Linked DNA regions of Nothobranchius furzeri. The protein of the gene in region 3 purifies or fractionates together with the protein of the main gene of each other region. This does not show direct contact. Links are inferred from orthologs where the notes say so. Each region holds a gene or a part of one and is shown on either strand. Other genes may lie near its edges. The genes, in order: usp39, dnajc17, eftud2, ecd, sart1, hnrnpub and aar2.

Evidence for each region.
Region 1: the proteins of eftud2 (region 3) and usp39 purify together in Homo sapiens (affinity purification with mass spectrometry; 4 studies listed by BioGRID and IntAct, with this or other methods). This does not show direct contact. The link is inferred for Nothobranchius furzeri from reciprocal best matches to the Homo sapiens genes EFTUD2 and USP39.
Region 2: the proteins of eftud2 (region 3) and dnajc17 purify together in Homo sapiens (affinity purification with mass spectrometry; 4 studies listed by BioGRID and IntAct, with this or other methods). This does not show direct contact. The link is inferred for Nothobranchius furzeri from reciprocal best matches to the Homo sapiens genes EFTUD2 and DNAJC17.
Region 4: the proteins of eftud2 (region 3) and ecd purify together in Homo sapiens (affinity purification with mass spectrometry; 5 studies listed by BioGRID and IntAct, with this or other methods). This does not show direct contact. The link is inferred for Nothobranchius furzeri from reciprocal best matches to the Homo sapiens genes EFTUD2 and ECD.
Region 5: the proteins of eftud2 (region 3) and sart1 purify together in Homo sapiens (affinity purification with mass spectrometry; 4 studies listed by BioGRID and IntAct, with this or other methods). This does not show direct contact. The link is inferred for Nothobranchius furzeri from reciprocal best matches to the Homo sapiens genes EFTUD2 and SART1.
Region 6: the proteins of eftud2 (region 3) and hnrnpub fractionate together in Homo sapiens (co-fractionation; 3 studies listed by BioGRID, with this or other methods). This does not show direct contact. The link is inferred for Nothobranchius furzeri from reciprocal best matches to the Homo sapiens genes EFTUD2 and HNRNPU.
Region 7: the proteins of eftud2 (region 3) and aar2 purify together in Homo sapiens (affinity purification with mass spectrometry; 5 studies listed by BioGRID and IntAct, counting the BioPlex papers as one, with this or other methods). This does not show direct contact. The link is inferred for Nothobranchius furzeri from reciprocal best matches to the Homo sapiens genes EFTUD2 and AAR2.

What each region holds. Positions count from the first base shown.
Region 1 is NC_091757.1:46,431,441-46,434,234, forward strand, and holds the end of usp39 (ubiquitin carboxyl-terminal hydrolase 39), read right to left. Parts: coding exon 2,670-2,794; intron 2,519-2,669; coding exon 2,376-2,518; intron 1,927-2,375; coding exon 1,791-1,926; intron 1,418-1,790; coding exon 1,331-1,417; intron 752-1,330; coding exon 701-751; 3' UTR 501-700; downstream 1-500.
Region 2 is NC_091758.1:33,993,561-33,997,852, forward strand, and holds the start of dnajc17 (dnaJ homolog subfamily C member 17), read left to right. Parts: upstream 1-1,492; 5' UTR 1,493-1,826; coding exon 1,827-1,907; intron 1,908-4,292. UniProt on the Homo sapiens protein: May negatively affect PAX8-induced thyroglobulin/TG transcription.
Region 3 is NC_091745.1:13,626,204-13,629,703, reverse strand, and holds part of eftud2 (116 kDa U5 small nuclear ribonucleoprotein component), read left to right. Parts: coding exon 1-80; intron 81-193; coding exon 194-312; intron 313-439; coding exon 440-534; intron 535-619; coding exon 620-773; intron 774-3,500. UniProt on the Homo sapiens protein: Required for pre-mRNA splicing as component of the spliceosome, including pre-catalytic, catalytic and post-catalytic spliceosomal complexes. Component of the U5 snRNP and the U4/U6-U5 tri-snRNP complex, a building block of the spliceosome.
Region 4 is NC_091752.1:30,506,690-30,510,671, reverse strand, and holds the start of ecd (protein ecdysoneless homolog), read right to left. Parts: upstream 2,801-3,982; 5' UTR 2,652-2,800; intron 2,554-2,651; 5' UTR 2,549-2,553; coding exon 2,344-2,548; intron 2,071-2,343; coding exon 1,953-2,070; intron 1,868-1,952; coding exon 1,780-1,867; intron 1,650-1,779; coding exon 1,471-1,649; intron 1,277-1,470; coding exon 1,084-1,276; intron 995-1,083; coding exon 866-994; intron 755-865; coding exon 629-754; intron 521-628; coding exon 435-520; intron 163-434; coding exon 59-162; intron 1-58. Other genes in the region: protein FAM149B1, read left to right, coding at 3,480-3,526. UniProt on the Homo sapiens protein: Regulator of p53/TP53 stability and function. Inhibits MDM2-mediated degradation of p53/TP53 possibly by cooperating in part with TXNIP. May be involved transcriptional regulation. In vitro has intrinsic transactivation activity enhanced by EP300.
Region 5 is NC_091744.1:19,554,503-19,558,702, reverse strand, and holds the start of sart1 (U4/U6.U5 tri-snRNP-associated protein 1), read right to left. Parts: upstream 2,801-4,200; 5' UTR 2,472-2,800; coding exon 159-2,471; 3' UTR 1-158. UniProt on the Homo sapiens protein: Plays a role in mRNA splicing as a component of the U4/U6-U5 tri-snRNP, one of the building blocks of the spliceosome. May also bind to DNA.
Region 6 is NC_091742.1:29,998,752-30,002,778, forward strand, and holds the start of hnrnpub (heterogeneous nuclear ribonucleoprotein Ub), read right to left. Parts: upstream 2,801-4,027; 5' UTR 2,662-2,800; coding exon 2,235-2,661; intron 397-2,234; coding exon 282-396; intron 1-281. UniProt on the Homo sapiens protein: DNA- and RNA-binding protein involved in several cellular processes such as nuclear chromatin organization, telomere-length regulation, transcription, mRNA alternative splicing and stability, Xist-mediated transcriptional silencing and mitotic cell progression.
Region 7 is NC_091755.1:59,903,686-59,907,757, reverse strand, and holds aar2 (protein AAR2 homolog), read right to left. Parts: upstream 2,603-4,072; 5' UTR 2,406-2,602; coding exon 1,640-2,405; intron 1,550-1,639; coding exon 1,320-1,549; intron 890-1,319; coding exon 722-889; 3' UTR 501-721; downstream 1-500. UniProt on the Homo sapiens protein: Component of the U5 snRNP complex that is required for spliceosome assembly and for pre-mRNA splicing.

The DNA.
Region 1 (2,794 bases), on a different chromosome or scaffold from region 3:
TCTTGACAATATTTGTGAGTAAAAAAAACGTGTAGAAACAAAAACGTACGTGTGTTATTAGGGAAATAGCGGGCGAGCGGCATTGATGCAGGATTGCACATGCGCCGTGAGCGGTTCTGATCCATTTTGTGTCGCAGCTGCTCGCAGCGCCGCTTCAACAGTGCGATACCCTCACGAGGGACGAGCAAAATATTAAACACGCCAGAAGTCCGTGCGAGCTCACGATTGCTGATCGGTAGCTGGTCACATGGTGTTAATCGCCTCTCGTAACCCCCCGTACACTACACGATGCTCGGCGCAAAACTCGCCCCGATCTTGTGGATTCTCACACGAGTGGAAAATTGGCTCAAAAAAGTGAAAAAGTCGCACAGTGTATGCCCGGCTTTAGTGATGCTTCCTCTCTGATTGTGCTGCTGCTCTTCCGGCAGCTGGTGAAGAAGATCAAATACAAATAAAACCTAATTTAAAGGTTGTGTTGTTAAGCTTTCATTTACAAAGACTTTTGTCCTCAAGGTGGTTTATTTAGAAAACTCCACAAGGTGAAAAGATAAAACCACAAAAAAAGAACTTCTGCATTTCAAGGCTTTGTGTCGCTTTAAACAAAGTTCTGTTGCACTTCAGATCATTTAAAGATTTGAGTTGATTTCCAGAGTTGTGATGAAACGAAACGCCACCCAGGATGGGAAATACATTGCAGCACTTACTCCGCCGTGTGGCTGTTTGTGTCACTGCTCTCCTGTCTCTTCCAAATCTGGCAAGAAAAGGGCAACAATTAAAAAAAACACTAAGAAAATCCTTTTTAAATTATAATACCAAATAACAGCTTTTTAGGAAGTACGTACACACTAGAAGCAACTGAGTAGATGGTTTTAATCAATAACTAGATTATTTTTCCTCAGTAACAGGTTGGATAGTCAGTTATGTGGTTTGAAGCTTTATTTTATTTTAATTATATTCTGTGTAAAGTTTGTGATGATTGCACTCAGTCTACAATGTCATTGTCAATTATTTCCATTATGCTCTTTTCTCAGAATTTGACAAAACCTTTAAGCAAAGCTGAGAAAGAGAAGATTTGTGTTGTTTTCCTTTGTAAAAAACAAAACTATAGTTAGTTAAAACAACTGTCTGATGCCATACATTTAGAATTTAGAGCCAACAATGAGGCTTTTGTTTTGAAAATCCCAATACTTTGTTAAGCCTTTAACTAATTAAATTCAGGAAGTAAACAAACAGCAGATTCTTCAGATTGTAGTCAAATGTTTTCATTAAAGGAAAAAAGTAAATTCTTCGAACTCGCAGGTAAATACTAAGACTTATAGGGTAGACTTACTTGGATGTAAGCCTCTGACAGCGTGATCATCTGGGGAAGAATGTCGATGACCTGCAGGTCCTGCATCTCGTACCACTTCCCTGTCCCCTGGTCAAACAAAGCATTCAGTTATTCTGCCGTAGATCACTAAAACACAACTGAAAGCTTTTGTTACAGACAGAAAACTCATCAGAAACTCAGGCCACATTCTTTCATTACTTTGTGGCCCTGTGGCAGCCTCGCCTCGGTCAGTGCGCCCCAGGGCAGCTGTGGCTAAATCGTAGCTCATCACCATCAGTGTGTGAATGTGTGTGTGAATGGATGAATGATACACTGTAAAGAGCTTTGGAGTCCTTAATCTGAGAGGCGCTATACAAGTGCGGGTCATTTATCATTCTGAAATCTACTGTGACTCAGAGAACAGGACACAGATGCTACGTTGATCCCAGTGCACATGAAAAACTGGTCAGCTGTAGCTTACATGATGCAGGACATGTATCCTGTATGATCCCTCTGTGGGTTTCCCATCATGCACCACATTTGCAACAAGGTCATAAGTCGTATTCTTCTCTGTAGCTTGAGCTTCTTCTGTCAGATACTCAGAAAGGTCCACGTTCCTGTTGAAGCAAACAGCAAAGTTCAAAATACATTTAAACGTGTAGTTTAGCCTAAAATAATAAACAGCAGATGTAAGCTGAACTTTATAAATGTGTTTAAGCAAAAGTCTGAGTTAGGGATGGGCGATGTGGCCTAAAATCCATATCACGGCACATTGAGAAGTTAGCCTTGATAACTATAAATGGACCATAACTACATGTATGCACAAAACCAGAAGTTGTCCACTAGATGGGGCTGTTACGTGTATTACTTTGAGTCATGTTGTCATGTGATTCAAGGTGGTTCAGCTTCTTAAAAGGACTTGATTGTCTCCAACCTACACACATCTTTCCATCTTTATTACCAAATTTACTGACATGGAAACAATGATATCGGTTAGAGTTAGAAATTTCGATAACGATAAGTGTTCGATTTACTGCCCTAGTCTGAGTAAACAAAAACAACTTACGTGATCGGGAAATTGACAATTGTTGGATTTTTTTCCACAAAGAAATTGTTCTTGGTGAATCTTTTGATGCAAAAGATGAGGTACGGTGGCAGTTTGGTCAACTGGAATCTTTTGAGGAAATTCTCTTTGTAGGTTTTGTATTCCTGCAAACAGCATCACATGCACATGTGCATTAGTTCCATTTTATTTCCTGTTGAATAACATTAATGCACTTCAATACTTGAGTTGAAGAATTTACAGGCTGGTCTTCCTTTATGTTATTAATTCAGCATCAGTCAGTAAAGGGGTTAGTACCTTTTCTGTGGTGCCACTGAACTTGCCCAGGATGTTAAATAGAGGGACCTGTGGGATGATAAGTTGTTCCTTCTCATCCTTGTACAGAGGAGCTGTTGGGAGGTCAAGGGTCAGAAACAGGAAGG
Region 2 (4,292 bases), on a different chromosome or scaffold from region 3:
CAAAAACACTTGAGCATGCCACAGCTCCAGGCTTTTCCAGAGAAAATAATGCTCACTCATGAGAACGCCATATTTAAACAGACCACTGAGTAAATATTATGAACTCATTATAAACACTAACTGAGCTTGAAGAACAGGATCATGAAACACAGCAGCTATAATCACGTAATCATCAAAGTCAACATCTTTGTTTAGTGCCCTTTTAATGCTGTGAAAGTGCACGGCCAAAATATTTATGGACATAAACTGGCCCTCAACCTCTGGATGCATCTGCAAAACCTTCTTTGGGTAAGTTAGAGGATTCACTAAACTTCCCTTTATTGTGCTTATTGGAGAAATCCTGGAAAAACCAGAAGACCAAGAATAAAAAACAAAACTTTAGAAAATAAAAGCTTTTTCCAGACAAAACACCAACTTTTTGAGATGCAGATCAGCAAAAACTAGAATATGGTGCAAAAAAGTTCATTTATTTCAGTAATCCAGTTTAGACCGAGAGACCATCTAAAGGCCCAGGAACCCTTTGCAGGTGTTCTGGATTCATTAGCTGATAAAAGTGTGACACCTAGAGCGTGAACCTTTTCACAACATTCTGTCTGAGATTTTGAATTTTGGGCTGTAATCCAAATTATAACAAATGAAGACTTAAAATATCTGGACTTGCATGTAACGAGTCTACCTCATGTATTAGTTTCACCTTTAAATGAAATTACTGAAATAATTGAATGAGGTTCAATTTTGTTGAATTTTGCCAGTAACTTGTAGTAAAACCAACATTTCATTTCTTTATTGCAAAACAGCAATTATCAATGTAAACCATCAAACATTCACAAACTTACAAAAATATTTACCAATGCCTTTATTACTTCTTTATTTTGAGAAAAAGTCTTTGCTGTTCAGATTTTTACCTTTTATGATCATCAAATCAAGAAGGATGTAAACATTTAAAATTGACACTTTTAAATGGATTGATCTATGTGTTGATAAAAAGGTTTTCTATGTTTTGGTAAATAAAACAGCTAATTACAAACACTGGTTGAGTGTGCTGCCAAAAGAACATTAATGATGAAATGCATCTTTGCTCTTTGCTTGTGCCGTCATTCTACTGCAGATTTACTGCTGGGATTATTGTTTTCTTGTGTGACACAATTAGGACCAAACCTCCTCTGTTTGACAGATGGTTTTACTCTGGAAGGCATTTGGTTGACTCTAAGGTATGCAGGCCCTGCTGCTTTAAACCAACCATAAACCACAGGGGTGGTTTACAGTTGATAAAAAGTGATGCATAATTTCCATCACTTACAAACAACCTGTTCAGTCTATTGAACTGTTGTAGCAAAGATGTAACGTCTTTATGAAATTTCCTCTTTTGAATAATCCTACTGACTATAGAATGATGAGCCCCAAATTATTAAAAAAAGTAATTATTTCATAAATGTCAGTCTGATAAACCACTAAATCTAACCTAAAACAATTTAGTTTTGCCTAATGAACACAAAACACCTGTGTATATATTTTTGAGAAAATAACATTAAAATTATAGCTGTATGGTTTTATTTAAAAGTTAGAGACTCAAACCAACAAACCGAGATAATCAATTATCAAAGCAACAAAAAGCCAGACACAGAGATACAGCGAACAACCACATTTCCCAGCAAGCATAGCACTTCCGGGTTGAAAGGTTGTAAACGTCAAACAAACTCGTGCTGCCCCAAATAAGCTGCAGCAAACACAAATAACCCTAACGCTGCCCGCTGTTAAACACTGTAAACAACCGTATCTATCCCCTCCTTTTATCTTTGATGTTAAAGTAGTTTGTGTTTAACAAAATGTCTGGGAAAGCTAAGGAAATCTTACAGATGGACCTCTATGGTTTACTCGGTATTGAAAATACTGCTACATCTAAAGAGGTACGTAAGTGAATGATAAATAAACAAATACCAGCTTTGCCTCTGGCTGTTAGCAGATCGTTAGACACTGTTGGAAAATGTTTATTCTATTTTTTATTCAGTGGGCGAGGAAAAAGGCTGTTTAATATAAAGGCTTTTTGTTTTTAGCAGAATGCTAGCAGTATGTTAGCATACTGCTTGTATTCCCATTTTCTTTCCGTCTGTGCTTATAATTTACCGTAAACATGGTGCGTGTTATCACTCAGAGCAAACGTGATGCATATAGGTCCAATACCTGATGGGTAAGAATCGATATGATAGAAACAAAGGACACAAAACAGACAAACTAGCTAAAGGCTAAAATTCGCATTGTTGTAGTACCACAGAATGGACACGAGATGGCGATGTTGCACCAGTGAGCTCCTTGTGTGCGACTCAAACGTCCCCATGACGTTTAAAAACAGTGAATGTTAAACAGCACAGATGTATATAAATCAACACGCTTAGTCTTATTTTGATTTATCTTATTTAAGCTTGGAGGAGCAGATGAGTATTTTCTAAAGATGACCCTCATCTGCAAAAATAGCAGAAGTCAAATTTCACTTCTGATTCTCAGGTCATTGCAAACCACCCTTCTTCATTCCCTCTCTTTTTTTTACTCCCAGCCTTAAGCGGTTAATCATGTTGTTCTGAATCCTGCCTTTTTCCTCCGACCACCTCTCTATCAAAAATCCACTGGCCTGAAGGGATATTAAAATCCCTGCCAAAACAAGGGAGGAAGTTAATTTCTTAATTAGATTTCAAAGTGTTCTCCTCCCAAGAGGGTTATCCCTGAGGAAGTCGGCGGTTGTGGCTTGGGCTGAGCTGAAGCACCAGAACTGAGAGGGCTGCTGCTGAAAGGTCTGCTGATGGCTGAGAGAGATAGTGGATTTGTCTCTTTGTGCCTTACATTAAATCAGCAGGGCTTAAGAAAAGAAATCAATCAAATCTGTGAGAAATATCATCAGATGGTCAAATTATCCCATTTGTTTGGTTCACATCTTCAAACATGCTGTTAATCACTGAGAAAAGGAGGAAACTCATCCCATGGCCAGTTAATGTGGGTTCAGTCACATCAACTTCTACGTAAATGCAGTGTTTTACAGCTTTGGTGTAGGGACTTTTGCTTCTGTGTATGTCCTCTGGAGCTTTTCTATTATCACTAATGCTGTTCTTGATAGGAATTCAGGCGTGTCAGAGATTTTGAGTTAACGACTGAAAGTGGATTGCCATCGGAGTTGTACCTACCACAGATTGCTCGGTGAAATGCTGTCTAAGACCACACAAGCTCTCACTTGGTTTATTCAGCTATTACTAGTGTGGCTGTTTTCAGTAAAAACACGCTGGTTTCTTCAGACAACGTTCACAAATACAGAGTTGTAGCTTAGTGCAAACACACAGTTCTCAATATCTGATGATCGTTTTTGGTTTGAGCCGCGATACTAAGATTGTTTCATCCACCAGTGAGGCCGTCTTTCAATTTGAAACAACTTTATCGACAGATCTACGTTAGATTCAAATATCAAAACTGACAGACAGGTCTATGTTAAAGGCCTTTTAATAACTAATAACCCTTTTTGCAGCATTTCACTATTTATATAATAACACATTTTCTATTCCTCCTTTCATTTGTTTTCATCTTTTCTCTTATATTTTTGTCATTCATCCCTCTCCTTGCTGCTGTCCTCGACTCCTGTCTTCATATTTTCTTTATTCTGCTGATAATGGTGGAGGATGTGCAGAGATCAGGCAACTTATCAGCCTCACTGGTGGGAAGCTCTGCTGTAACTGTATTAGATAGCTTTTAATGCCTTGTTTGTATGATGTTGTTTCCTGGCATGTTTACACTACTGTACATTGTGCATATTGTGCTGAATCTTGGTTGGAAAGAAATCGTGAACTGAGATGAAATAGAAATTTACACCAGAATTATTGCAATTCACAATCTTTTAGCCCTGCCTTGTTTAGCTGTAATTTAAAACAAAGTAATGCAATTAAGATAAAGTGTTTACGATGTTTAAGAGCGGTCTGAGATGGTTATCCCGTCATGGTTCATGGAGGTTCATGGAAGTCGTATAACTGTTGCTCTTGTGCAGCGGGAACAAAGCCTGAACTGTCATGGAGATTTATTTAAAATGCTTTAAAGGCAGCATCTTAACGGATCTTAGTAATTTTAGTTATCTGAATGTGTATTTAGATTTTCCCCTCCGTAAAATCAACTCAGTCAGCTGTTAAGATAACATCAAATCTTGTAATTCCAGCAAAAATGTGCAGTTGCTCCGCAGACTTGAAAAAAGGTGATCCCACGTTCTGTGAGGCTGGTTTAGGTTGAGAGAATAGATGTGGAAAGTTGGTTTCTGTTGCGGA
Region 3 (3,500 bases):
GGCGCTGCTGGGGTCTGTTAAAGACAGCATCGTTCAGGGCTTCCAGTGGGGCACCAGGGAGGGGCCTCTTTGTGACGAACGTAAGAACCACGCTGAGTTTAGCTGTTGGATGTCAGAATGCTTGTTGATATGGACATACGTAGCTTAATAAATATAAAATGACAGAGTCTTGTGTTTTTTCCTCGCTCTTCAGCCATTAGAAATGTGAAGTTTAAGATCTTGGATGCTGTGATCGCTCAGGAGCCTCTCCACAGAGGAGGAGGTCAGGTTATCCCTACGGCCAGGAGGGTTGTTTACTCTGCTTTCCTCATGGTGAGGCTTGGTTTGATCCATACCTTCTAAATGCTTGCTAGCTTTGATTGAATCATAAATGTGTTCATTAGAACATCGTAATGCTTCTCCGGGTTTTAGTGCTTTAGAGTCTGCTTTGTTCTCCCAGGCCACGCCGAGGCTGATGGAGCCGTATTATTTCGTAGAGGTCCAGGCTCCGGCTGATTGTGTGTCAGCGGTCTACACGGTGCTGGCTCGGAGGAGGTTTGTCTCACGAGGCAAAAACAACAATTCTGACAATTATTTGTTAAAGTTTTAAAAAACTTCTCGTGTGTTTTCCGTCTGTCAGAGGTCACGTCACCCAGGATGCACCTATTCCCGGCTCTCCACTCTACACAATCAAAGCTTTTATCCCAGCCATCGACTCTTTTGGCTTTGAGACTGACCTTCGTACGCACACTCAGGGTCAGGCCTTTGCTCTGTCTGTCTTCCACCACTGGCAGGTGAGATTAAACACGCAACCTGCTTTCTGCGTGTTATCGCTCTGAATTTGATTTCATCAGATTTAGCTGCGATTAAAATTCAAATAGCAGCAGAAATGTGTGGCCTACCAATAAAGTGTGCACCTGAGTGTGACAGTCACTTTGCACCATGAAAAAAATCAATCAATAAATACTTTATTAATCCCAGAGGGAAATTAGAGCGGTAAACAATGTTTTGATCTCTCTGCTGTTGAACTCGTGCGTTTGTGGCAGCTCGTGCTGCGTCGTGGTCGACCTCATGCATGTCTGCCACTCTGGGCAAACTGCTTCTGATCCAAAGGACGGTGGAGTGTTGAGTCATTACTTTTAAAGCGTTATGAGGCTGTTTGTGTCTGCCTGACGTGTGTTTGTGTCTGCACTCTGTTGAGCTGTGTCAGTGAAAATGAACTCCACTTAGGCTAGATTAATATTTCAGCTTAGTGTCTTTAAGCCACGAGCTACGGAAAATATTCCCACGGCACAAATTTAAAGTGATATCGTCTTAACCGTTTTATCCCCTTGAGGTGAAAATAAATGCATCTAACTAGACATTTTAATTATTCACTATATGAATGCTAATCATATGGAGTCGACCAAAATTAATACAACTCTTGACACCTTTGGTTGGTTTGTGTTCAGATACTTTCTACCTGGACTGCACGATATTGGGAAAACCTGCGATATTCGATAATGGTGATTGATATTGCAATGACGATATTACTTGCTATAAATAAAAACTTAACTCGGGAACAAAAATAAAGCAAAGAAATAAAATAAATCATAAAAATGAGAAATGCAAAAGATGTGAGGAAAGGGAAAAGAAAATGATCAAGAAAAGCAGAATCAGCAGAACAAAGCTAACTCAGGTGTTTGCTAACCATTAAAATTAAGTTCCGTCCACCTCGGGGGCGGGAATCTAACCTATGAGAACCCACCCGATTGGCTAAATGGGTGAAGAGCTCTATTTGATTTGTTAAACATCATTCTTCCGTTTGACTGACAGAAGCTTGATGTGAAGCAAACATTTGAGCTGACCATTCATTGCGATATTTTGGTTCTTTGCGATACGCATATTGCTCATGCTGATATCGCGATAACGATATATTTACGATATATTGTGCAGTCCTACTTTCTACAGAATCTTTTTCAAGCTTTTACCAATTCAATACATTTTTAATACATCAGCTTTTCACTACTGGAATATTCCCAGACATAGTTTTATGTAAGCAGCGATATTTAGTTTTTGTTGCTGTGGGGGCCGATTGTTAAGTAATATTGTCAGAATTGCTGGATTTGATCACGTTTAGATTTGGATAATATTAAAATTAAACCAGATAGAAAAATATAAAGATGCTAATCTAAACAAGCAAAGTTAAACGTAAATATTTAAACTGAAAACTAAATGTGTGGAGCTGAATATAAATGTTAAAATATAAAATGTGGTTATCGTATTTGGGTAACGTGCAAATTTAGACTCGCGTGGATGGAAAGTGGCCGACCAAAGAAAAAAAATTCTCTATATTATGGATCATTGTTCCCGTCATGGTTCTGCCGGCGCTTTGGTAAATGAGCCACGGTTGAACTGACGGACAACGTTTTACTGTCGAGGAAGCTTTAGAGACCTTAGACGGGGGTCTCTTCACCCCGCCTTTCGATTGGCCACTTCTATTTTACATCAGTCTGAGTTAGCACGTTAGCTCAATATTTCATAGTTTTTAAGAAAGCTAACTTACCGGAATATCTAAACTTTAACATTAGTGTGGCAAGGTGGACAAACGAGGGCCCAGGCGGGATTTGATCCCCCAGACTCCCGGGTGAGAGTCATACGCTCTAACCAGTCAGCCAAAGGGACATCCCCTTGGCCAAGTAGCCAGGGCGCATGATCTATCGGGACATTGTGACAGGACACTCACACTGTCACATCAGCATTGTAACTTTAAAAATCGACATTTCTACTTGATGTCTGTTTATTTTAGGAGTTCTGTTTGGAGTTGTGTTTAAACGTTTTCAAATAACTTTGTAATTTCCTAAATGAATGCGACGCAAACGTGAGTTCAGGATTCCCACCCCATTTTAATAAGATTTATTTAGTATTTCTTTGCGATTACTTTTACACTTAGTGCCTCATCAATCACCGTTATCATCCGTAACTGTAATTACTGTCCCAACACGACGGATTCAGCTGCTCAGGGTATCCAGAATAGCTCAGAGGTTGGTGTAGTGCACCATTTGGCCACATTTCCTTAATAGTTAGATTTAAATACTCAATGTTATTATGTAATTAGTAGCTCTCACGCTTTGGTTGATTTGGCTGGACCTACTTCACGTACACGCCCACCACCCTGCTAGCAGGTCTCATCTTTCATCTGCGGCTAAATGCAGAACGGGACGATTAATATATGACGCGTTTTGTGAAGGTCATCCTGCAAACTGCCTGGGGTAATGGCTTTAGTGGATCGTTTTAAAGCTCAACCTGCCGACGTTGCATTGTTGCTGTGTTGGTCACATTTGATGGTGTGACGGTGCTTTCACATTTGCACATCTCTCCATCACGCTGATGAACGTTCTGCTGACTCCGTACCAACAGGACAGGCGTTCAGCTGAATCTCATAAAATGAAAATATCCACTCGGCTGGTTGAAAAGTTTCATGTGTTATATGAGAACAAATGTGGTTTCTGTTTGCATCACCTATCTGATCCCCCTTTAAG
Region 4 (3,982 bases), on a different chromosome or scaffold from region 3:
AGCAAAAAAATCTGCTCGTCTTAAGAATGACTTTCCATCGTTTATCGTTTCTACTCACTGTCCTCTTGGGGAAGCTGTGACTGCTGTTTTTTCAATTCCTCCAAGTCGAACGGAGGACTGCTGTGAAGCACCTCAACAACTTCCTCCCCAGGGGACAGAGGACTGAAAACACACATCAAGCACGTTCACACCGCTGCGCTGGCATATGAAAGGTAGCTATGGTCTCTACTGCATGATGCAACATTCTGTTAGGAAACAAAGAGCCCAGTTTTGAACGTTACTTTATCAGGCACCACCTACCTGAGCTAAAAACTCAGGTGGGCCACATGTGTGCTGAGATCAAACTGCACATTTGAGTGGCCAGCCTAGAGTATGCCTGTGCAAAACATACTTCATTTGATTAACACATTTTCATACACAAGATAGCTTCTCACCTTGACTTTGAGACAACGGAGTACTTGAAGAAAATTTCTGCTGATCTTAAGCGTTCTTTAAAACGTACCGAACCCTCCAGCTCTCCCTGCGTTAGACAGCAATGGCACTGAATCACTGTATGGTAGCGAATCGCTGAGCATGCTGCTCTTCCAAGTGTCTGCTTTTAATTTAAATACAAAATAGTGCACCACACCTGGAAGTAGTCGTTCTTTTTCAGGCTCTCCAAGAAGCCTTTCCACTGGGGGTTGCAGCTTACTGGCGCGTTTGGCTCCGAGGACGGCAGTCTGCATTTAGAGCACAGGATCTCAAAGCCATGGGCCTGAGAGAAGGATGCACAGTTAAAAAACATCCTACAAGACTCCAAACACAAGTTATCCATATATTTTGTTGCAAAAACAGCAAAAGAACAAACAAACAAAATATGCTTCACCAGTTTCATGCCCAACTCATAAGCCTTGTACTGAGGATGAGAGCGAGGAGGCAGGCTAAATCCGCTCCTCCGATCTGGGATAAAATCTTGCTGCTGCAGCTGTGCATAAAGGCAGCGGGTGAACGTCACCTAAAGAATAAATATCAAGTTCCAGGTTTCAATTAAAGGCAACATTTCACAAAAAAGTTATGCACTCACGAGTGTTTTTGTGCACTCACCAAAGTGAGGATTCTCGTATCAGGAGGAAAAGTCTTGAAGCTTCGACAGGCCTGTAGATCCACCGGATCCCGCAGATAAAACGCTGAAACCGCAGGAGCAACCAGGTCTGGACGCTGCGCCAGAACAGTGGCTACCCCTGCAGGTATGAAGCAGTGAGCCCGGTGGAGGTTACTCTGGATCTTCTCTGGATACCTAGATGAAAAACAGAGATAATGTTTTTTCTAAAACTTTACAGGGCTTGTATGAGCCATGCTGATGTTCCCCGTGTTGCTATGGTATAATGTGTTTCCTGCACAGAAGGAATGCAGAGATTGTGTCAACAACATTTACGAGGCTAATAGCTATTAGATACCAAAGAGCAGTGGTGTTCTTTCAAACCCTCTCACCCTTTTATTCTCTTGTTCAGAGCTGAGCATATCTTAGGGCTGGCCTGACAGGAGTCTGGATGAGTGGAGAGTAGTTCTATGGCTTCTGCCACACTGGGAACAACATCAACTGGGAAGCCCACTGGACTTAGTTTGGAGGGGCAAGGAAGGATGTGCAGCTCTCCCTTGTAAAGAAAAACCTGTAAAGAAATGCAGCCAAAGTCAAATGGAAAATTTGCATTTTAAAGTGTCTTTCACATGAATTCTCAACCAATATCCAGCTATAACGAATCACACAATATTATGTCCCATTTCATCAGAAGGGCTAACCCTGTTTTCACTCGTGTCTGGGTTCAACCACTTTGGAAGGTAATCAGCAGCTTCGATCAGAATAAACTCCCCATCGTTGTCCTCAACCCTGCACACACAAACAGCATAGAGTTGTATGCAGCAAGAACACATTTCTGTTGCAACAGTAACACTGAGACCCTATAGTGTCTCACCTGGCTGCAAGCTCTGGAAAAACTTCTGTGATCTGCTTCAAGAGGTAAACAATAAACCACTCGTCCTCAACGTTGTCTCCAAACTGACTGCTGCCTCCAATGTGAGCAGGAATATTTCCTATCAGGACACGTGAGATTTGATGGTTACATTGCGTTATAAACAGGTGTTCTGTCTAATCACCATACATTGACAGATTGGCAAGTGCGTATTACAGTGTATGCCTATCTGACAACACAAGGCTTTTCAGACATGCATACGCTATCAGATCATACATTTTAAAAGATGTATGACACTTTGATGAGCCAGTTGACCCGTCAGATAGATTACCATACACTTTGTTTTAGCACACCCTGATAGGTCATCATCTAAGTGCAGCTGATTAAATCTTACCTTTCTCTGAATGAAATCTGAGGCTGAATGGCTGATGTTGCCAGATATACTGTACCAAAAGTGGAGCTAATTTAGCCAAAATCTCCTCTGTCAAGCATTTTAGGCGTTCTTCAGTCTGCTGAGAAGATAAACCATTTGACTGGACCAAGAATAGTTTGTACTGAACCGTATCTTCTTGAATCATCCTTTTCTGCAGAGCATCCATTGTAGCTGATAAAAGAAAAGAAAAAATGATTAATTTACTGAATAAAGGAGATGTCTGGGGAGAGCTAGTCTCACCAAGACGTAAATATGTCAGTTAAATGTACCTTGTCGTGCATGTAAAAGGTCCTTTTAATTTTAAATCTCTGCAAACCAGAACTGAAGAAATTTGGTATTTTCTGACGTTGCTAGCACGCCATCAGTGACTGTTTAGGTCCGTCCACAATTTGTAGTCGACACTCACATTTCTTTCGATGAAGTTCCGGTTTCAAATGTATGTACGTTATAAAATATCTCACTTAAAAATTAACCTTTGTACCGTATATTAATTACTTAATTATTATTGATAAATAATTTTAACTTAGTAAATTAACTGATAAATCATACGCTGAATGATTTCTTATTATTACGAACGGAAACATTTCAGAGACGTAACCACATCGCCGGAGAGATGTCTGGGAAATGTAGGAAAACAGATTTGTGAAGAACGCGTTACACGTTCTTCAGAAATACATTTCCCGCGAACCCGCGCGGTTAAGAGGCTGCGTATCCATGACAGCCGCGCTGTTGTTTTCGTCGGTGCTAATGCTAGCATGTATACACACATTAATGCTAAGCTATTAGCCTGATCGCTACATAACTTCCGGACAAACGTGATTAGTACCTAGTGTAGACAGTCTAACTTAATGGTTAACATATTTGCGGAAGTTTTATAACACCACCTGTGCCCTGTTTGCATGTCACGGTCGCATCAACGCCTCTCAGCTCTTTTTAGCGTAGCCTCCTCCCCTCAACAGATAAAAAGAGCGTGTCTTTTGTCTTGCGGACTACCGATCGAGGATGGTGAGGCTCGTCTGCTTCTCACATAGAGTCCAAGAAGCAGAGGCAAGGATGGGAGTCGAGGGCTTGAGCCCATAAAACGGAGAGAAAGGAGAATGATTTCACGATACAACAGAAAACCTGTATCGCACAAACTTGAGATGTGAGTACCAAATGTTGCTTCAGCCCCCTGCGGCTTAAATCTACATATGTTGTTTGTGTGTGTGTGGTGTTCCAGCGAGTTACTACTGAGCTGATCTGACTTTTAGCTGCTTGAGTCACACAATATTCAATCTATATAGTTTACTATGTCAGTTGTTTTTCTTCAGAAAAATTTCTTGGGCTTACAGAAGATTAGTATTTACCATAATAATGACCCATTGTAACATTTAATTGTGTTTTAGCTGGGTTTGATTGCCCATTGTATTACCACTGTTAGATGTCTGCACAGTCATTTCCGGGCTGTTTTTTATTTATTTATAATGCTTAAGGACCGTGGCTGCGTGTGTAGTATTGATTCCTAGAAACTTAATTCTGTTCACTACCTTGACCTTAGATCCATGACTGATGCAAAGGAATTCAATGGATCATTGGCTCCTTTTTATAAAACTGTGAGAAA
Region 5 (4,200 bases), on a different chromosome or scaffold from region 3:
TTTAAATTATTGTTCTTTTAGGAAATTCACAAGACAAATGAAATAGTTTACACCTGTACTGATTTTCTTATACTATTGTTATATCAACACTGAAGCAAGACCATAAACTAGCAATAATCTCAAAAGAGCTACAACAATAATCATTTTCCCCTACATATTTATTTAGTGATGGTGTTTGCATTCATGCTCTTCCCACTGCCACTGAGGACGATGTACGGCGTTTTCTGAGATTTCTGTTTCTCTTGAAGCAAAGCCACCGTCCCCAGAGGTGTATCGCTGCTGCTCATCTTCTTCAGCAGCGCTTCCTCCTCCAGCTTTTTCATCCTCCTTTCAGTTTTCATCTTTCCAGAACCTTTGCCGTGGAAACGATGCGAAAGCTGCCTGAATGCCTCTTTTGGGGTGAGTCTGCGCCCAGACTCATCCACATACTCAATTTTGACGTCGGGTTTATATCCATCCTTTTCCTTGAAATCCTGCGTGAAGCCTCTGTATTCTTCCCGGCGACTGTACTTATCATCAAAGCCCATCTTGTCCTCGATGCAGTAGTTGTCATTAGGCAGGGACCCCTTTGTTGCTTTGACACGAGCCACCTTTTGCATTTGCGTGTCCAGCAGCCCTTTATTTTTGCACAGCAGTAAAGCAGCAGCAAGGCCAGAGTTCACGATGGGTTCCTCATCCAGGATAGTGGCAGAGGCTGTGGAAAATTCAGCATGATTTTGCTCCTCATCCAGGTTAACTGTGCTCCACCCAATATTTTCATCCATTTCGGAGTCTGAATCTCCAGCATCATCTTTCTCTTCTTCCTGTTCAAAGTCCATGATATCCTCCTGGTCTTCCCTGTTTCCAGACAGTCCATACGTTGGAATATCACCCAGAGTTCTGCAGAACTCAGAGGTGGCATTGAAGACAATGTTATTCCTCTTGTCAGGATCATTTTCGTCACCGCCTTTAACAAACCGTCTGATCTGCTCTGCCACCTTCTCCCCGGAGTCTTTGAGAAGCTGCTTCTGCCTCAGCTTCCTCTGTTTCTCCAGTTGTTTCTGCAGCTCCTGCTCTGCCTCATCCTCCTCAATTACAGCTGGCTCAGGAGGCGTGAAGTTTTCTTCATCACTCATTTCCATTTCTGCCGTCCTGATGTCATCAGACATTTGGGGGATTTCATGTGGCCAACGCTCGCCCTTGCCTGTATTCTCCTCTTCGTTGTCCTGTTTGCGGCCCCGACCTCGTGCTCGGGAGCCAAAGTCAGAGCTGCGAGTGTCATCAAGGAGCTCATCTGCAATTGTCTGCTTCTCCTTCTTCCTGATTTTCTTCACACGGCGTTTTGTCTTTTTAAAGCCAACCATTTCCTGAGGCGTGTAATACTCCGAAGCGATAGCAAGAGCAGGCATTTCCAAAGACTGGGCCTGGTTTTGCAGCGTTTCTTTCATAGCCTGCAGCTCCCGTTCTCGCTCCCCATCAGCAAATCCCCATGTGCTCAAACGAAAGCTCTTTTTCTTTTCACCTTCAATTTCTTCATCGTATTTTGAAAGTACAGTGCGGGGCTTAAAGGTGACCATGTCATCCACACTCTCCTCTTCTTCGTAGGGCTTGTAGTCAGGCTTTTTCTTTTTCAACTCCACATTCTTTTCTGCTTTTTCCTTGTCCACCAGTCCCACGTTCACAAGCACATCCTCCTCTTCTTCCAGGACACCTTTGTCTTGCAGGGTCAGAATGACAGTGTGGCCCTCCTTGAAGGAATCAACCTTGTGCTGCACTTTGAGGCCTTTGAGATCCCGTGAAGAATAAGAATCCAATTTACTTTGAGCAAACTCCTCTTCAACCAGATTGCTGACACCAAACTCCTCATCCATCTCTTCCAGAAGTTTGGCTCTTTTCTCTGCCATTTCTTTCTCTTGTGCCAGCTTTCTGCTTCTTTCAATCCAAGCGGCTGTGTCATCGAGCCAATCATCATCTGCAAGGTTTTTGACTTTGCCCAGTTTCTGATTGAGGAGACGTTTTTCTTTCATAGCTGCAAGCTTCTCCCTCATCTCTTTCTGCTGCTGGATGAGAACAGGGTTGATGGTCTCAGCCACCAGTGGCTCCTCTTTGGTTCCAAGTTCTTTCTTGTTCTCATTGAGTTCCAGAGGCTTTAAACCCAGCTTGGCTCGGAGTTTGTTCGTTTCCTCGACGCTGAGGGAAGCATCTCCACTTGCACTCTGAGGCTGTATTTCTGCACTGCCTTCCTCATAGCCAGGATCCAATTTCTCCCTCTTTATACGAGTCTCGCCACTGCTTTTTTCCCCTTTGCTGCGACTATCCCGTCTGCTCCTTTCCCTGGACCTGGAGCGTTTTCGTTTTTCTCGAGTTCCATCCCGATCTGAGGCATCTCTGTCTCTCTCTCGTTCTTTGTGCCGATGCTTCTTATGTTCACGACGGCGCTCTTCTGCGTCCTTATCGCGACTCTTTTCCTTGTGTTTCTTTGAAGAACCCATGATTTCGTCCGCTGTTTACAACTCCAGAGTCGTAGTTCCGTCACAGTCAAGCTGCGTACGCAGTCTCTTCAGCTGTATTGATGTGGTAAATGTCGCGAACTTTTCTCCCAACTAGGTCGAGTTAGCTTCAAAAGCTAAAGGGTTAGCCACGTCAAAACTCACTCATTTCGGGGAAAACTGCATCATATTTTCGATATCCAGCATCGGTGGAAAATACGTGGAGTTTCGTTGGTTTGTTTATTTGTAGCACCTCGCACCAGCATAAATACTAACAACCACGTTTTAAGTTTGCTACTTCGACGAAACGAACATACAACGACAACGAATTCGTTTCCGGAAGTCAAGTGGTAGAAAAAACTTTGCTCGCCCTGGTTGTATATCGCCCCCTGCTGGCTGGGGCTTTAACAACCGGACATTAACTGACAAACAAACGCTTTTAAATGTTTTAGGAAAATTGTTTGATACTTTACAAAAAGTACACGAAGTGCAACACAGCGATTTACTATCTCCTCTATTTTGGCGCAGTTCCTTTACTTTAGCTTGTTAGCTTAGCAAAGGTTGCAGCCTGCAACCTGCTGTATTTAGCAAGCCGTGATAGCATTTAATGAAGCAAAACATTTCCATTCACTTAAAATTTTAGATAAAGTTATAATAATTCCCATTATCAAAATGTATTTCTTACTTATCGTAACTGAAATAATATCTAGAAGTGCATTCTGATCAGTAAAAACACATTTTAATACTGTAATTGATATTTCAATTGGAAACCCCCAGGTTTAGAGTATTTAAAAATGCTTTTGATTCCAAACGGTCATTTGAACATTTAATGGCTGGGATGTTTATCACTTTCAGATATACATCAAAATTAATTCTTCTCAGACAAAGAGAAAAAGTCAGATGTCTAGCAATGGTTTCTGTCTACCAACAACAGCATTAAGGATTTTTTCAAATTACATTTTTCTACTTCAGCTTTTGCATTTATCTGTATTGAGCTCCAGATATCAAAAAGGGCATTGTGCTAATGTATTTGGCAGATGCTTTTGTCCAAAACGATCTATAAACAAGGATGTAACAGTACTTGCATCTGATTCTAACGATAAACTGATTAGAGGAAAGAACACTAGGCTCCGACAGAGGAGTATGCGAAAATAGTGTAGAAATGAATCAGAGTGCAACATAGATGGAAGTGCACAAAGAGATGCAGTGGAATAGAGGAAGGGATGGGTGGATCCTAGGGTAGGAGTAGGTGTAACATTATGGATATCATATCAGTTCACATGTTAATTTCACTCATTTTTATACATACTACATTTTAAATTTTACTTGAATCTGTTATGCTTTGGCTGCATGTTGGCACAGTGGTAGTGCTGTTGCCTTGCTGTATTTCAATAAATAAAGTTTGAATCAAATGCTATTTCATCAAGTTCTTAATAGATATTTTAATTATCTTTCAAAATATTTGTAATTGCATTTGTTGCGAGTTTCTCAATAGATCTATACACGAGTTTACCACTATTCTTTATTTTGTGTATTAAAAAAACCTTTGAATATGTCACCTAGGATAATAGATACGTGAATTGCGTGTTTCCCTCAGTAAGAATCGTCAGATCATGCCAGGATAAGAAAGAATAGAAGAAATTGTTACCTGGATGGCTGAAATGTCTTTTAGCACGAAACCCCCCACGATGGATTGAGCCCAAGTAATAAATGACAAATCGGCTTGCTTGTA
Region 6 (4,027 bases), on a different chromosome or scaffold from region 3:
GAACAGATATGAGATTGATAGATGCACTTCTGCTACAGAATGCAGTCGTTAAAGACACAATGTGAGTGTAAAAAGGTAAATGGTAAGGCTTTAGCTATTCAGGGATGACCCTCAAACACATGTGTGAAAGGTTATATCATAAATATATGATAGAATACTTCAAACGAGGCTTTACCTCTTGCTAGTTATGTGCATTGGCACTTAAAGCCAATACAGTTCAACAAAGCTTGGATGGCGCTTCAGGGATGCTGAAGGCCACCTCGGCTCTGTCCCATCCTTACCAGCTGTATTTGTTCTCTTCAATAAATTCAAAGTAGCCCCTTCCATGTTCCTCCCGGCGTCTCTTAACACCCTTCTTATTCTTCTGATCAGCATTCGTGTCTTTGTCCGCATCTCCTTTGAAAATAGAACAAAGATATAGAATGAGGTGCTCCTTTTTGAGAGAGAGAGAGGTCGGACTGGCAGTGGGGTTCTGGCCCACGAAGCCCGTTCATTATTTACATTGCGTCTAGCATGATTACCAAGAGGAAACACCTCATAGTTACATTTAAAACAGTACAATCATATTACATGACTTGTAACAACTGGTAAGACCAGGTAGTAATTACAGCATGAACTGGCCCAAATGAACAGCAGCAGCAGAGCTTGATGGGGCTGGAAAAGGGGTCGTGAAAGGGTAAGAACCCTTCAGATACAAGTCCTCTAGTCCTAGATGAGGGTCTACTGCATCAGGGGGAGTTAACCATGCAGGGAAACCTACCTAAAGCCCAATGACACCCCCCGCTAAAGAAAAGGATGATATGTAAATAAAAATGTATGTATACCCTTTAATATCACGCTTGTATTTCAAATCGAAAACACACGATGGACGTATCAGGAAAGTTGTAGGCCACTCCGTTCTTCTGCAAAGCGCTGGGTTAGCAAGTTCAGAGGTTCCCAAGCTCATAACCCAAACTAACACCCAAATACAGCTTCAGGTCTTTTACATCAGCCTGCTGAGGCTCTTCCTTCAAACATCTGCACCTCATAACCAGACCTGATGCTAGTGTTGGCTTTTGATCCGGCTAAACACGATTCTGGACTTCACTCGTCTACACTAGATAGAATCTTTAATAATTTAATCAATCACATACAGTCCAAGACTGGGACAATTTAGTTCTTATGGGCAACTCAAAGTGGTCCAGCCCAAAAACACGCAGACATCTGGACTAACAGTTTGAAGCTGACATGCACTGACCTGCGGAAGGAAACCATGGAAACCCACACATGCACGCGGAGAACAAGCTAACTCCATGCAGAAAGGCTGGAGCTGGGATGTGAACCTTGCTAAAAGCTAAAAGTGCTACCAAATGGAGTTTGTGAAACCGTTAATCATTCAGTAAGACTAAAGTGTTATTGATAACGGGACCACATCAGAACCAGTCATATGAAGCAAGGTGACAGACTCTGGTGCCTTGCTGATCTCTGGACCAGATCAGAAGCGGTCCTTGTAGAAAACTTCATCAGTAATGTGTGCCACTCCTAGTTGATCAGAGGTAGAAAATGTAACGCATGGGGGATTTAGACCACGTTTGGACCCACTCATTAAAAAAATCTAAAAACTAAAATTGTCTTCAGTAATTTGTGTTTTTGCGACTGGAGCACGTAAGAACTGATCCTGTTCTGAAAACAGAACACGTTTTAGTTTTTATATGTATTAAAGAATTACTTTAGCCCCCTCCCGCCTCGTCTACGTGCTGTAGTTCTGAACTAGAGCTGATCAAACGTAGTCCAGATGAAGCCTTGGCGAGAGGAAAACCGACTAAAGCGTGATGGGAACCTCTGAAATGGCTAACACGGCTAGCTAGCGCAGACCGATACAAAGGAAAAACGATGCTAACTAGCGTGCTACTATCAAGCGACACAAGAGAAAAATAACAAATTAATTTCTTAAGAATTATTTATAAGCATGTTCCTTAGTTAGTCCGTGTCAATTAACCTACTATCCGTTGGTAAACTGGGTTAGAGAATCGTACATTTAAATTATTGTAACCAAGGCGTTGGCTAATGCTAACTAGCCTGAATCACGCTGACTGACTCAACATGGACGCCATGATAAGCGGTAACAACCGGCTACCCCTCCCTTACGGAAAAGCATTCAAATCTACGCTACAGTTCCCACCTCCCCCCACAAAATGACACCCAGCCACGGTTCATCCAACAAATCATTTTCATAGCGTATTGTTTCTTCTCACCCTCAGTAGCGTGATCGCCGGGCTCACCATCTTCTGTGTCAATTTTCTCCATGTCGTCTACATCCTCCTTTAGCATGGGATCCATCTCGTCCTCCTCGTCACCTTCCTCTTCCCCCTCACCCATCTCCTCGTCCACCGACACACCGTTCCCGTCGCCGTCATTCGCCGGCTCTTCTCCCTCGTTGGCCTCCATGCTCTCCTCTACCGGGCCTTCTTCTTCCTCCCCCATACCCTCCTGGATGTCCGCGGCCTGCTCGTCCGTCGCCACATCCTGAGCGGCCGAGTCTCCAGCGAGGGCCTCCTCGTCCAGCGCGGCCTGCAAGCGGTCCATCAGATCGGCCTTCAGCCCCTTGTCTGATAGGTTTCGTTTCTTGAGCTCGTCTTTTAGCTCGTTTACTTTAAGCTTCTTCACGTTAATCGTGCTCATTGTGGACGTTTAACGACAAACTACTAAAATACGTCGACAAATAAACAATAACGTGCACTTTGTTAGTAGATGTTGCTCGAAACGACGCCAAACGTTACGCGCGATCCAACCTTTCACCAACGGAGAGGGAGCTGATGAGCCAGCCTCGGCGGCGGGAGGGGGAGCAGAGCGCTAACCACTACCGTAATGATCCTAAAAGCAGCACAGTCGAGCCAGAGCCACCACGGTATTAAAACTGGAACAAGAACAGGGCAGTGCAGAGATGAGAGACGGGTGCCCCAAGTTTAAACGGGGCACCTAAAACAAGACTGTCAAACCCCTTACATCATTTACAGATGACCAGGTAGACTAATAACAACTCATTATCAATAATCTATCTAATCACACCATCTGCTTCAAGCTGTGTTTTGTTGCCTCTACCTTTATTGCGCCTGTTGCTTGAACAAAGGGCAAAACATTCAGGCTCTAGATGTGGAAAGCTGGTAGGGACATAACCCAAAGAGACACCCCCCAAAGCCATTCAGCTGTAATTGCAGCAAAAGATGAGTCCACAAAGTATTTATGCAGGGGGCTGAATACAAATGCACAACACACTTTCATATTTTTATTTGCTTAAAATTTTTGAAAACCATGTTTCATTTCACACTTATGTGCTTTTTTATGTTGATCTAGCAAAGAAAATATCAATAAAAATATTGAAGTTTGTGGTCAAAATATGTAGAAGTTCAGAGGGTATGAATACCTTTGCAAGGCACCACGTATGTATGTATGTATGTATGTATGTATGTATGTATGTATGTATGTATGTATGTATGTATGTATGTACGTACGTACGTACGTATGTATGTATGTATGTATGTATGTATGTATGTATGTATGTACGCATGTATGTATGTATGTATGTATGTATGTACGTATGTATGTATGTACGCATGTATGTTTGTATGTATGTATGTACGTATGTATGTATGTATGTATGTATGTATGTATGTACGCACGTACGTATGTATGTTTGTATGTATGTATGTACGTATGTATGTATGTATGTTTGTATGTATGTATGTATGTACGCATGTATGTATGTATGTATGTACGTATGTATGTATGTACGCATGTATGTTTGTATGTATGTATGTACGTATGTATGTATGTACGCATGTATGTATGTATGTATGTATGTATGTATGTATGTATGTATGTATGTATGTATGTATGTATGTATGTATGTATGTATGTATGTATGCATGTATGTATGCATGCATGCATGCATGTATGTATGTATGTATGTATGTATGTATGTATGCATGTATGTATGTATGTACGCATGTATGTATGTATGCATGTATGTATGTATGTATGTATGTAT
Region 7 (4,072 bases), on a different chromosome or scaffold from region 3:
CTCATAGTGAAAACCAGTCCTCCAGTTCCCCCTAGTGGACATGTTAAACATTCATGATAATTAAAAGAGGCTGACATTCATCCATCCATTTGCAGCCGCTTATCCAGAGTCAGGTCACGGGTCAGGTCAGCCTAAGCCGAGGCCCAGACTTCCTTCTCCCCAGCCACTTGGGCCAGCTACTCTAAGGGAACCCTAAGGCAGTGCCTGGCCAGCTGACGCAGTCCCTCCAGCGTGTCCTGGGTCTTCTCCAGGTTGGATGTGTCTGGAAAGCCCCTCACTAGGGAGACGTTCAGGGGCAACCTGACCACATGGTTGCTTTATATAAATATGTTCCCACTTTCCTGTTGGACAATAGTGCTTTATTTTGAAACAAATGTTACGCATATGATGTCTTGCATGTTTAGATTTGTTCATAGATTCATGAACTACTGTTCAAAACTTTCCAATAATGTGGTAGAATGTAAATGTTCTTTTGAAACAACTATACAAATAAAACAAAATAAATTGTTACTGACTTTATTTAATATAAAAACCACCAGACCTCAGATCAAACCTCTCCTCTCTCTGACTACATCACTACAGATGATTCGTGAACATATTATCTTCTCCTTATGAAAAGACAAACAATAGAAGACATGTTGGAACCACACAGAACAACCGTGGCAGTGTGCTGCTGTAGAACCGGTATGAGGCCAAGAGGAGAAACTGCACGATGGGAGAATTAGTCCACTGTGACGCCTTCAGGCAGCTCCACCACTACAGGTGCACAGTCGTCCAAATCTGCATCGAAATCCCAACGAAACTTCTTGGTTAGGTGGGTTTTGAACTTCTCTGCCTTCTTTTGTAGGATCCCATCCACACCAGGTCCAGTGGCAAACTGGAAAAAATCCTGCAAGATAAAAAGTCGATTTAATAATCCCCAATGAAGAACACCAGTTTGAGATCAAATAGAAACAAAATATGGGACCCTAATTCTTGCTCTAGTAGATTTTCCATCTTGTAGCTGCTTAAAAATCATTTTGAAAGAAGAAAAAAAAATTGAAGACAGATTTTAAATGAAAATATTACTTAAAGACCTCGTTGAAAGGATTCATGTCCCCTGCTACCTTTTATAGTTTTAAATGAAGGCTGGAAATGCTGGAAAATGATGGATATCCGGTCTGAAATGTACAAGTTGTTTGTTACATTTATAAACAATTTAGGGTCACAAGAAATAAAAACATGATGTTTGTGCCTCTAGTGACAGCTCTTTTCTGATTCAGAAACATTTTGAATATTTCCCTAACATTGTGCGTGCAGCTGTTGCACATCTGCTGTACCTGCAGCGTGCTGGTGAGGAAGTTGTTCTGTGACACAATGTCAACAAAGAAGTCAGGAGGGACTTCTCCGAGCTGGTGGTAGAGCACAGTGATGAGTCCCAGATAGAGCTCCTTCCTCCTCCTCATGGCCTCCTCCGAGCGGCACAGCAGAGCCAGGAGGCTCTTCCAGTGCTCAAAGCCCTCGTACACATTCCCAATCAAGAAACACACAAAAGCAAACTGCAGCTCACCTGGAAGAGATTTGAGATTCAGATATTTAGTTGCATAGGCATTAGGCAGTTGCATTCTTGTAACAGTGCATTAATCTTTGTGACACAAACCAAGCAAGTTTAGAGGCTGGTTCTCGTATTTCTTCTCCAGAACCCCCTCCAGGGCATAGCTCAAGTCCATGCTGCATTTCGTGATCTCAGCTGGAGTAGCCCCAGGAGGGTAGGTCTTTTTGGGAATAACTGAAAAGCGCAGTTCAGTCCCTTCTCTGTGCTTCATTTTGGGAAGCCTGTCCAGTCCCTCTTTCATGCTCTGGCAGGCCGTGTCGTTCCTCGGCTGCTCTGCCCTGTCTTTTGTGTGTCTGAACTGAAGCTCGGGGACGACATCACTGAAGGCGCAGATTCGACCCGTCAGAGGCTGTAAGTCACTGGCCAGCTTCTCGCTGATGTGATCGGTGAGAGACACCCACTTCCTCATGACCTCATAGGGATAAGGGCCCAAGAAGGGATCCAGCTCCCGCAAAGTCCCCCGGATCCTGTTCACTTCCTCTTCATTCCTGGAGGCTGAGAAATCCAGATCTTCTTCTTTGGGATCCCAGTTGGCCAGGAGAATTTCTCTTGGTTTCAGGGTGAGGAAAAGACCCGTTTTAGGACCGATTTCTCCACCACAGCTTGGCGAGTTTACAGAGCAGTAATGGAGGAAGTGTAAACCAGGGGGGATCATCTTAACACCACGAAACCGAGGACCAACCTGCCAGCTTTTGCAGTCAATCCCAAGCTCGGTGCCCTGAGGAACACCCAGCAGAACCAAAGTAGCTCCTTCTTCAAATAACGACCAAGCAACATCTGGATCCATGTTCGAAGAGCTGCTGCTGGCCATCTTTGTTTACTACTAATCTACAAACTATATTTACTGAGAAACATGCGTAAATTCTCTCAGGTGCTACGTGAGCTGTTCATCATTCAAGTGTTTCCGTATTTGAACGCGAATGCTAATTTTAGGGTTTTAAAGTATCTTATTTAAGCAGCGAAGATTATCAATAAAGTAAAAAAAACTAATTACATTTCGAAAAACCCCATTTTACGGTCTACGCGTCCACTTATAAAAACAAACTGTACCTACAGTTACACTAGTGGACGTTCCAAACAACAACGCTGCTATTTCGTTTGCCGGAAATCTGTGTAACAAAATAAATGCTCAGGGTGGAAACAGTGTCTCATTAGAACAGTTCCGCTCTTTTGCACAACTTGGCCTCCAAGTTTTTCTTAATATATCTTTTTAGAAATTTAGGTTTGGGAAAATGAAGCAATAAAAAGATTTTAAAGCAGATTTTTTTCGCAGTGGCAGAATTGATGCTGTAATCGCTTTTGCTATGTAAAAAGCCCAACAATGAGCAAAACTCGCTAAAATAAATTTATAAGACTGTTTAAAAACTATTTATTTTATGTACTCAGGATTAACATTTTCCATTGCAGTACATTTATTTTACATTGCCCTTTAAATTAGTAAGATTATATTCTGGCAAAATTTCATTATAAAATGTTTTACTTATTATTATTGTCAATATTTATGTTGGACTGTTCTATGCAATACCCATTGGAAGGAGTGATTGTGAACAAGACTGATTTGGAAATGTCGAAAATATTTCAATTGGGTTTTTAGCTTAATAAAAAAGACAGCTAGAGGCTGCGAGTTCCTCTCTTGTTAACTCAGACATGTCATGTTTTGTAATAATTTACAGGAAGTGTTTGCGCTAATTAAATTTTTGTGATTGCTCTTTCTAGTCCTCCATCATCCCCAATAAGACAAAAATGGGATGTTTTTCATAATAATAATAATAATAATAATAATAATAATGATGATGATGATGATGATAATGATAATGCAAAAAAGTTTTTTTTAATTGAACTAGACTGTAGTTCATCTCTGTGCCACCAGAGGGCATTAATGTCCCATCTCCTCTTCTCTTTTAAAAGCACCAGTTCCTTTGAATTATTAAAAAAATAATTTGCAATGGCCTTTTGGAATTATCAAAGGTGGGACTCTCTAAATACTAACTAACATTAAGAAGAGAATAATATAAATTATTTTTGTTGTTTTCTTAATATTTTTATGAAGAAAATCTGACATTGAATTCACAGGATAACACACAGAGACACATTTACGTTTGACTCACAAACACATCACATGAGACTTTGAAATGTGCATAATGCTGAATATTTGCATTTAGCTTATTTGTGGTTACAATGAAACTATAACAACATAACAAGGAGCAATGCTAACAAATGCAGAAAGAGCAAGAACACTAATGAGAACTTAACATTCATGTTTATTATCAGCTATCTTTGCAAAAAGGGTCATATCACGGTGCTGTGAATATACTTAAACTGGTGTTTTTGTGAGAAGTTACCAGTCACACCAGACCCTACTTAGATTTGTAGCTGCTCTGAAGTTTTTGCCAACAAGTAATCAGTAATTTGATTATGTTGATGAATAATTTCCTCTTCCTCTTCTTTCCTTGTATTTTCCGAACAGTTGAGCAAGAA